3 linked regions of the Callithrix jacchus genome follow. The protein of the gene in region 3 interacts with the protein of the main gene of each other region in a pairwise test. Links are inferred from orthologs where the notes say so. Each region holds a gene or a part of one and is shown on either strand. Other genes may lie near its edges.

Region 1 (3,653 bases), about 48 Mb from region 3:
AAAATTATCAGTAAATTAAAATTATTTCAAATAACCATACATCAAAACTCTTGGCTCAGCTCTTAATATTTCTAGTCTACTACTATCTTTAAGATACATGAGGGTTTAAAAAAGTTTTGTTTTTTATACTAACCCAAGTTTATAGTTAAAAAAAAAAAAATCACAGCTTCTAGTAAGCTCCACAAGAGACTCAACAACAATGTAATATATCTTGGTGAAAAGACAAGAAATTCAGCCAGGTGTGGTGGCTCACACCTGTAATTCCAGCACTTTGGGAGTCCGAGACGAGTGGATCACAAGGTCAGGAGATTGAGACCATCCTGGCTAACACTCTAAAACCCCACCTCTACTAAAAGTACAAAAAATTAGTGAGGCATGGTGGTATGCACCTGTAGTCCCAGCTACTTGGGGGGCTGAGGCAGGAAAATAGCTTGAACCCAGGAGGCGTGGGTTGCAGTGAGCAGAGATCGAGTTGCACTCCAGCCTGGGTGACAGAGTGAAATATCTCAAAGAAAGATAAGAAATTCTACTATGCAAACTTACAGTGATTTCACATGGAAGAAGTACTTACAAAGGCACAGACCAAAAACCTACTTGATTCCCTGATGACAATAAAAATGAATCACCTTTCCTCATGACATAATTAAAGAACTGCATGATGGAAATTCTTCCATATGAATCTGTATGAAGGAGTTTAGCGAAGACTTTTGCTGTGAAAAATTGCCTAAGAAAAGAAAATAAAGATTTAAATGATCTGCCAACATAACAGAAAAATGACTTCTACATAAATTAGCAAACAATGACATAAATTCATATAATTAAAGATGAAAGTAAGAACAACAGAGACTGCTTATAATTCAAAAACTTAATATTGGCCAGGTGTGGTGGCTCACGCCTGTAATCCTGGCATATTGGGAAGCTGAGGCAGGTGAACTGCCTGAGCTCAGGAGTTCACCAACAGCCTAGGCAACATGGTGAAACCCTGTCTCTACTAAAAAATTACAAAAAAATAATTAACCAGATGGCGGCATCTGCCTGCAGTCCCAGCTACTCAGGAGGCTGAGGCAAGAGAATTGCTTGAACCCAGGAGGCAGAGGTTGCAGTGAGCCGAGATTGTGCCACTGCACTCCTGCCTGGGCAACAGAGCGAGACTGTCTCAACAAAACAAAATTAAAAAAACAAACAAAAAAAAAAAACTTAAAGTATTAAGTCATACTTTCTTTAGAAAAAAGAAATGAGGATATTCTCTGTTGCCCAGACTGATCTTGAATGCCCAGCCTCAAGTGATCCACCTGCCTTGGCCTCCCAAAGCACTGGAGTTACAAATGTGAGGCACCATGCCCAGCCTAAGTCATAAATCTTTGCATTCTTTTTTTTTTTTTTTTTTTTGAGATGGAGTCTCCCTGTGTCACCTAGGCTGGAGTGCAGTGGAGCGATCTTGGCTTACTGAAACTTCTGCCTCCTAAGTTCAAGCAATTCTCTGCCTCCCAGGTTCAAGCAATTCTCTGCCTCAGCCTCCCGAGTAGCTGGGATTACAAGCACCCAGCACTATGTCCGGCTAATTTTTGTATTTTTAGTAGAAATGAGGTTTCACCATCTTGGCCAGGCTGGTCTTGAACTCCTGACCTCATGATCCACCCACCTCAGTCTCCCAAAGTGCTGGGATTATAAGCGTGAGCCACTGTGCCCGGTCTTTTTTGTTTATATTTTGCAGAGATGGGCATGTGAGCCACAGTGCGTGGCCTTGCATTCTTTTATGTTTGGTTTCTTCTGTCTTAAGAATGAAGGCTGAAAGTGTCATAAACTACATTATTTCTTTTAATAACTTCATACCAATGTGATTTTTTTCACTGTAAATTTCATTAATCACTTAAATTGACTGAAATGTCATACCACTGACTTCAAATATTTGAGGCTTTATTTATTTTTTTTAAAGATGGGGTCTTGCTCTGTCACCCAGGATAGAGTGCAGTGGCTGAATCACACAGCTCATCCTCCTGGGCTCAAGCAATTCTCCCACCTCAGCCTCCCAAGCAGTTACAGGCAGATGTTCCCACACTGATAATTTTTTGATTTTTAGTAGAGACAAGATCTCCCTAAGTTGCCCAGGCTGGTCTCAAACACTCAAGCTCAAGCGATCCTCCCACTTCAGCCTCTGACAGTGTTGGGATTATAGGTATGAGCCACAGTGCCTGGCCAATATTTGAGGCATTTAAAATGCTTAACATAACACACTTCTTTGTAAATTATATTATTCTTACTTGCACTTTGCTCCAGACTTTTCACCAACCTTCAAAAAATTTTCATAATTGATCATCGCTTCCTCTCCAATCATAGGTGGTGTCTGGTGTTTGTCCAGCAAAAACCACAAGTTCTTAAGAGAATTGTGGGAATGAAGACGTTATAAGTTAACAAGATTTTAAAATGTAGTTAAATGCATGCTTTCCACTAAAATGATAGTTAGCAAAGTCAATATTAAAATGAATCATGCCCTATTATCCTTTTCATTACTAATAAAAATCACATTTATTGAGTGCCTACCAAGCTTCTGATATACACTGCCTCTTTAAACCACTTAACTCTATAATATGGTTAACTATCCCTACTTTACAGATTATAATTGAAGCCCACAGATGTTAAGTCCATTGCCTAAAGTCACATAACAGGACTGGGATTTGAACCTCTGTAGTCTGACCCTACAGCAGTGGTTTTCAACCTTGGCTGTATATTAGAATCACCTAGGGCCTTTAACAAAAACAACAAACACTGTGTTTGGGAGACATGACCTATGCAAACTCAGCAGCTGCTTCTGGTGGGAACTGCTGCTTCAGAGCCTATGCAGTACCACTCTGCAGTACTGACTCCATTAGGCACCAAGAAATCCTACATGATTTAAGCAGTACAAATAAGAAATGGTTAACATCTAAAGCAACGTTTTGCTCTGTTCTTACCTGCAATTCTTCATTATCTAACAGTTCTCTGCTTTTTCTTTGTAGAAAGACAGCTCTTGATTCCTCTCTTAATTTCTGCAGTAAGACTTCATCTTCAGCAGGCAGCTAAAAATACAACGTAAATTTCTACATGTGAATTTTAGACTACTGGATCCTGTAAAGTGTATGTGGCTAATAAAATAACTGTCTGCCACTGCCTCAAATTATTTTTTGTATTTCACCTTAATTGTGCTTAACATTTGTTTAACAAAAAGTGATCCACAGAGAATCAGTGATCAGCAAGGCTGGATCTCTGCCCTGAAAAAAACTATTTTAAATGTTAGTCTAGTCCAAGTTTCATTTTATTTTCTTAAAGCACTGTATTTCTATTGTCACCTTAGAATGATATAGAATTAAATGAGGATTAACTGAAGACTGACAGTTTTAAAACTACCTTTGCAAAAATTATAATAGAAAATGAAGACAGTGAAAGAGACCTGATCTAACCAACTCTACCTTGTTCTTATTTTTTATGTATTTTATTTATTATAATAATAATAATTATTATTATTACTTTTTGAGACGGAGTTTCGCTCTTGTTACCTAGGCTGCAGTGCAATGCGCGATCTCGGCTCACCGCAACCTCTGCCTCCTGGATTCAGGCAATTCTCTTGCCTCAACCTCCTGAGTAGCTGGGATTACAGGCACGCACCACCATGCCCA
Region 2 (3,653 bases), on a different chromosome or scaffold from region 3:
CTCAGGGAAGACACACTGCTAAAGAGAATGTGGATAAAAAGGTTCACACTCAACTGTTCCTCCCACCAAGACCTAACTACCTTAATTTCACTGAAGACTGAAATACAAATTTTTACTCTGGAAAGTAACTTACAGAGATGGGCAGGTGTGGATCTCATGCTAGGTATCTGCACTGAGGCAGCTGAACAGGAACCTGCTTGAATGGCCATTACCAGGAATCCTGGGAGAGGAGGTCATGCATCCTTTCTGCCCACATTAATTCCTCAATATTACTATTTGAACAAAGGCTGCATTCCTGAGTCCCAAGATACAGATCTTTTTTCTACTCTTTCACACTCTGTTGCTCTAACTTCAAAAGCCTGCACCTGTATAGATTTTATCAATTTAAATGTGTGCATCTTCTTTGAAATATTCTTTCCATGGTTCCTTTGAGCAGAACCCAGGCCAAGTTTTCATACTGCATTTTCTTATTTATCTTATTAGAAGGATCAGGGGAAAAAGTGCTCTAATTACTGCAAAAAGAAAGAAGTCACTTCAGAAACAGTCACATTCTTTTTGGTCTTTTAGTATAAACAATATCCTTTGCATTTCATTAACTTTCATTTGGTGTGACTGTATTATATTTTGCATAAAGATTTGGCATTCTTCAAACACAAGACAATTTTTCTCACATTTCAAAAGGGATTATAGCGTAAACACTAGCATCCAGCTTATTGAATAATAAAAGTTCCTTATCTGCATAGTTCAAATGGAAGTCTGAAAATTATCTAGTTCCTATAAATAAGATCTCAAGGTGACCTTTCTTATGAGAAATGAGGCCTGGCTGTAGTCTGAACCAGTTATCTGACATGTGCCAAATTCTGACTTCATTTCATGATATGTGGATTACAGTTCTGGTGCTTAAAGCCAAAACCAACAAAAATGATGAAACTTTACCTGTGATTCAAGTAACCACAATCTGTGCCTCTTAAGGCAATGTCCCCAGTTCACTATCAACTTTCTCTTTTAGGGTAGCCAAATGTGAAAACTGAGAAATCAGGGGTAGATGCTTTTCAGAAAAATGAAGCCCTGTACTCCTGGAACTGATTTACTTGTTAAATCAAGAAAGATTGGGTCTGGAAAGCATTTATCATGTAGGACCAGATGTCGGATGTTCTGTAATATACATGCTGAATTTTGAATTGAGTATAACTAATTATATCTAATGAGTCTGGGACAGCCACTGAAAGGATGAGAGGAGAAAGGAGGCTGATAATGCAGCTAAAGAGTTCACCGTGGAAGGACTAGGGCGCCTACTGTCCTTAAAATGCATTCACTCACCCCCTCCAAGCTGAGTGAAACCAGAAGCTCCCAAGGCAGTACTTACTCCCAAAAATGTTTAAGAGGGCATAATTTTCCAAGGGATCACAAGATTTCAACAACCTGCTGCCCAGCAGAAGGGTGCAAGAGTAGAAGGAGGGGGAGGCACCCGAAGGAAGAGAACAGCTATCTCCTCTATGAAGATCAATATATATTTTAACATTTCCAGATAGATGGGCTTTCCTGAAGTTCCTTGGTGGGAGGGAAGAATCCAGTGTAAAAACAGTCTAAGTGCATGGGCATATGTTCAGGAATCTTTAATAGCAAATTCCCTCACTTATAAGCTCATTTGAAATCCCCAGGAGCCATGGGTGTTTAGTGGATGCTCAATAGGGAATGATAGAGGGGCACCTGGAAAAATTGGGAGCATGTTTGCTGACAGTGAAATGAAAAGAACCAATGGGGAGAGTCTTTCGTGCCCCCTCTTTTGTTGAGGTCCAGTATGGCCACTTTGACTTGGCCTAGGAGCTGGGCAGAGGGTCACTGATCTCTGTTTCCTTGTTCATTGCTCTGTGACTGGTACTATAGGGTTTGAGGCAGAGCTAACTGACTTGTTTCTCTGGTCCCCTAAACAGACAGACAGGCATCCCCCCAGTACCTGCAGGAGGATCTTGTTCCCATCGTGGTCCTCCGTCTGCCAGCGTCCCTCGCTAATGGGGCTGCAAGGGTTGGGCAGGAGAGGCACGAGCTCACCGATGTCCCTCACTCGGAACTCCAGCACGGACGAGTCGGTGGGCACCGGGCTCTGGTCACAGGGCAGTCTTTTCAGGGAGAACTGGATGTCCACATCCAGATTGGAGAAAATAGGGAAGATGCAGAAGTCCACTTTCTTCTGGCTGGGGCTCCTCCGGAGAATCAGCTCGTAGAACCTGAGGCTGTCGGTGTAGTTGTCGTGGCGACAGTAGACCGTGAAGCGCACGATTTCCTTGCCGTAGTGCACCGGCCGGATGGCCCACAGTGGCGTCCCAGGGGCCAGCGTGAAGAAGTCTTGGCTGCAGGGCAGGTAGGGCAGGAACCGGCCGTGCACGCGCTCCGTGTGGTGGTGGCGCCAGGGCGGCTGCTGCAGCGTCCGGTGTAACTGCAGGATCTGCTCCTCGCCGTACTCCTCCTGCAGGAACAGCACCACGGCCAGCGCTGGCTGTGAGCCCTTGGGGGGCTTTCGCCGCCGCCGGCAGGCCCGCCTCTCGGACACTCGGAACAGCGGGAGGTCCGGGTGGATCCACGCCAAGACCTTGTCGATGGCCTCCTGCAGGGGCTGGGACTCCCCTGGGTCTGCGATTATGTGGATGCTGACCAGGAAAGGGTCCTGCGCCTCTTCCACGGAAAGCTCACCTGGGGGCACACGGAAAATGAATGAATGAATACAATTATGATTATTTCATTAAAGTGTTCAGTGATGACATGTACAGGCTTGACAGAGAAGTCAAATTCAACTGAATTGACTCCAAGACGTGGGATTTTCTGATTCCAAGTTTACCTGTAAAAACTACTATGCCAACACCCTAGCAGCCAAAGAGGAAAGGACTATTGCTACCTGAATAGTCTCCAAGCTGGAGAGGGGAGGAGAACCTTGTTGCTGTATTTCATCAGGTTGAGTGGTATAGGGAACATGTGACTTTATATTTACATATTGGACATATAAAAAGTCAAGTCTAGTGACTTGGACTAGCAGGCCCATTAGAGAAGATGCCATAGCATCTTGTGGACACCATTTAGAATTTCCTGAAATAACTGCAGGGCCTTACCCCATTCATGTTCCCTACACCAACACATTCCTCTGGTTTGCTTATTTCGTTTGTTTATTTTGTTAACACACGCTCATGGGCTCCTTCCTAACTGCCTTACAGGGAGTGAGGCACAAGGTGAATGATGGAGGACAGGAGAGACCTGTGCTTGCCCCCTGGGGCTTACTCTATGGACAGGTGATACTCTGGCTGGTGATGAGTCCTGCCCACAGTGCCCTCTATTGTGGGGGCCTGGCCATGATCATCTTGCTGCTGGAGACACAGGGAAGGATGACCCCTGGAGCCAAGCACAGTGTTCTTGCTGTTGGAGCTTACTGGGGCTGAGGTTAGGGTGGAAGGAAAGCAGGGTGAGACCATGACTGCCCATGAAAGGCTGCCTTTTGTGCCCCTTGCTGGGCCACATCCACCCAGAAGCCCACACATCTTGAATGGGTCGGTTACACCCTCCCTGTGTTCTCTGGCAGAACACCTGAAAGTATTGAATTCCAAACGTGAAGTTGACTGTTTAACTTGGCAACACTTTCTCAGGGGGTGACAGTGTTTTGGCCA
Region 3 (3,653 bases):
CTGGCTGTGTCTTTTGATTGGGGGATTTAGTTGATTTAAATTTAGGATTACTGCCATTTGATGTTAACTGGCTGTTTTATCCATTCGTTGATGTAAATTCTTCTTTATGTTGATGCTCTTTACTTTTTGGTATATTTTTAGAAAGGCTAATACTGGTTGTTTCTTTCTATGTGTAATGCTTCTTTCAGAAGCTCTTGTAAAGCAGGCCTGGTGGTAATAAAATCTCTGAGTACTTGCTTGTTCATAAAAGATTTTATTTTTCCTTCAGTTGTGAAGCTTAGTTTGGCTGGATATGAAATTCTGGACTGAAAGTTCTGTTCTTTAAGGATGTTGAATATTGGCCCCCACTCTCTTCTGGCTTGTAGGGTTTCTGCTGAGAGATCTGTTGTAAGTCTGATAGGCTTCCCTTTGTGGGTAACCTGACCTTTCTCTCTGGCTGCCCTTAGTATTTTCTCCTTTGTTTCAACCCTGGTGAATCTAACGATTATGTGCCTTGGGGTTGCTCTTCTTGAGGAATATCTTTGTGGTGTTCTCTGTATTACCTGGGGTTGAATATTGTCTTGCTTTGCTAAGTTTGGAAAGTTTTCCTGAATAATATCCTGAAGAGTATTTTCCAGGTTGGACTCATTCTCTCCGTCATATTCAGGTACACCTATCAAACATAAATTAGGTCTTTTCACATAGTCCCATATTTCTTGGAGACTTTGCTCATTCCTTTTTATCCTTTTTTCTCTCTTCTTGTCTTCTCATTTTATTTCATTAAGTTGGTCTTCAACCTCTGATATCCTTTCTTCTGCTTGATCAATTTGAGTGTTTAAACCTGTGCATACTTCTTGGAGTTCCTGCATTGTATTCTTCAGTTCCATTAATTCACTTATATTCCTCTCTAAGTTGTCTATTCTCATTAGGATTTCGTCAAACCTTTTTTCAAAGTTCTTAGTTTCCTTACATTGGGCTACAACATGTTCTTTTAACTCACAGAAGTTTCTTATTATCCACCTTCTGAAGCCTGATTCTGTTAATGGGATGCACTCGTTCTCCATCAAGCCTTGTTCCCTTGTTGATGAGGAACTGTGATCCTCTTTAGAGGGAGAGGTGTTCTGATTTTGAGTATTCTCAGCCTTTTTATGCTGGTTTCTTCCCATCATTGTAAATTTATCCACCTGTTGTCTTTGTAATTATCAACTTTCAAATTAGGTCTCTGAGTGGACATCCAAGTTGTTAATTCCCAGGGCTGAAATCTGAGCAACCCACTGCGCCGGACAAAACAGCAGCGATAAGACTGATGGTGCTCTTCTGCCTGGGAATCTCCAGTCTGGCTTCCTTCTTAAGTCTGTAATGGGTGACTCTGCCTTCCCAGAGCTCCAAACATTGGTCAGAAGGGGAACCAGTCCCATTTACTCTGCACCAAGAGCTGCCATGCCGAGGTACCAGCAAAACTGCTGGGCTGGCTACAAGAGTTGTGCTGGCGACCCGTGGGGCTCCTCCACTGGGAATCTTCTGGTCTGTGAGTGACAAAATTTTGTCTGAAAGTGTGGCATCCTCTCGTTCTCTGCACTTTTACTGGGAGCTGCAATCCCGAGATGTTAGCGATCAGCCATCTTGGATCGTTCTCCAGGAGCTGTGTTTCTTGAGCCCCACCTGGTCCTAGACTTGTCATGCTGTGGGTGGGTGTGATGCCCAGGGCTGCTCTGAGGCAAAAGCTGGGGGCATCAAGGTGGTTCTCACCTGCTCTCCCTGTACTTCCTCAAGCCTCTGACTCACCTTCACCAGCTCAAAGTGGTAGGGGTGGAAGACACGCAGGTTCTTGATGGGTATTTTGTAGGACAACAACTCCTCTTTCTGTTTGTTGTCTACCACCTTGAGGATCACATCTGGAAAAAGAAGAAATGAGCACAGATTCAGTTTTAAATGGACCCCTTTCCCTCCCAGTAAGGAGAGACAGTGAGAGGTGAGAGACATCACCAAGAGTAGAGAGCAGGGGCCACACGGGTAAATCAACATGCATGCACGCATGTGGATCACCCCTGTGCATACAAACCCACAAGCACAGTCTGAGCCCCTGCACAGGGTGAGGCTCCATGCCAGCTGCTGTTAGGACCCCAACATGCCATTTTCTCCTGTGGCCTAGAGAATCCCAGCCCAGAGACAGACACACACAGAACTGAGTCCAGTCCCCTGTGACAACAGACACACATGTGCACACATTGAGTACACAGGCAAACAGGCATAGCACTTCTTTCCAGGAATAAGACTCCTTTCCTTGGTCACAAACACTTATGCCAGCTCTTGATGGCACAAGGATGGGGAGAGACTATCTCACACATGTTGCAGGTGGAGAAACTGAATTTCAGTTGGAAAAAGTGATTTGCTCAATAAATCCTTTAATACAGCTATCAATAAAAGTCTACTGCGAGTCAGAGAAAACTGGTCTAAATACTAAGAACAATGGACCACTTGGTAAACACCCTCCAAAGAGACTATATTATCTCATGAAACGGCATGAACGTTGGTATAAACTTTTTTTTTTGAGACAGAGTCTCACTTTGTCACCCAGGCTGGAGTGCGGTGGCACGATCTTGGCTCACTGCCACCTCCGCCTCCTTGGGTCAAGTGATTCTTCTGCCTCAGCCTCCCAAGTAGCTGGGATTACAGGCACTCGCCACCATGCTTAGCTAATTTTTGTATTTTCAGTAGAGACAACGTTTTGCCATGTTGGCCAGGCTGGTCTCGAACTCCTGACTTCAGCTGATCCATCCACCTCGGCCTCCCAAAGTGCTGGGATTACAGGCATGAGCCATTGTGCCTGGCCAGTATAAGCTTTAAGGAGAACACCAATCTATAAATAATCATGCCAGTGCTGTTTAGTGGGCAGGACTGCCATGATTATTTAGTGAGCATCTACTATGTGCCAGGCATGGGGATGGGCATTTCTCAGCCATGATTCTAATGAATTCTCACCACAACCCCTCAGGTGGGTATTATCATCTCTCTTCTTAAAATATGAGCAGTGGGGCTCAGAGGGTTATATAACTTGATCACCATCACACATCTGGAAAGCAGATGATGGGAAGGGTTACATTTGGTGACACTCAAGGCATCTGTCTATTCTAGAAACCTATGATTTGAGGAGGAAGAAGAGATGGGGAGAAAAGAAGGAGAAGGATAGAGGAGGAATGGAGAACAAATGAGAAAGATGGGGTAAGAAATGATACAAAACAGAGAAGAATAGGAAATGGAGGATGGGGCAGAGAGGTGTGCCTGAGGGAGAAGGAGCCCCTTGCCCTCTGCTTCTCTTGAGACAAGAGATTTCAGCACCAGGGACAGCAGCCGACCCTTGAGGGCTCTGCGGCTGGGTCATTTGGAACTGGATGGGTCATTTTGAGAAGGAAGCTGAGGGTTTTGTTAAGTATTCTTCCTTTCTCTGTCTTCCCCACAGCTATCTCAAGAGCTGGCCACATGGGATATGTGCTCAAAGGAAAGAAGGGGGAAAGGGCACCGAAGGTGTTGAGATTGGCTTGAAGAAAGGAGGCTGAGGAAAGGGATTTGAAGTCAGCAGACCTGGGTTCTAGTATCAAGACACTAACTTGCTCTGCGACTGTCAGCAAATCTTTTAGCCTCTTTCAGCTTTATGTTCCTCCTCTTCCACATGT

Evidence for each region.
Region 1: the proteins of CCDC33 (region 3) and PPP2R3C interact in a two-hybrid assay, tested with the Homo sapiens proteins (2 studies listed by BioGRID and IntAct). The two-hybrid records come from large-scale screens. The link is inferred for Callithrix jacchus from reciprocal best matches to the Homo sapiens genes CCDC33 and PPP2R3C.
Region 2: the proteins of CCDC33 (region 3) and FAM124A interact in a two-hybrid assay, tested with the Homo sapiens proteins (2 studies listed by BioGRID and IntAct). The two-hybrid records come from large-scale screens. The link is inferred for Callithrix jacchus from reciprocal best matches to the Homo sapiens genes CCDC33 and FAM124A.

Annotation. Positions count from the first base shown.
Region 1 is NC_133509.1:69,573,547-69,577,199, forward strand, and holds part of PPP2R3C (serine/threonine-protein phosphatase 2A regulatory subunit B'' subunit gamma), read right to left. Parts: intron 3,057-3,653; coding exon 2,952-3,056; intron 2,375-2,951; coding exon 2,262-2,374; intron 725-2,261; coding exon 627-724; intron 1-626. UniProt on the Homo sapiens protein: May regulate MCM3AP phosphorylation through phosphatase recruitment. May act as a negative regulator of ABCB1 expression and function through the dephosphorylation of ABCB1 by TFPI2/PPP2R3C complex.
Region 2 is NC_133502.1:64,698,169-64,701,821, forward strand, and holds part of FAM124A (protein FAM124A), read right to left. Parts: intron 2,692-3,653; coding exon 1,958-2,691; intron 1-1,957.
Region 3 is NC_133509.1:21,106,450-21,110,102, reverse strand, and holds part of CCDC33 (coiled-coil domain-containing protein 33), read right to left. Parts: exon of another isoform or gene 3,440-3,653; intron 3,202-3,439; exon of another isoform or gene 1,875-3,201; coding exon 1,765-1,874; intron 1-1,764.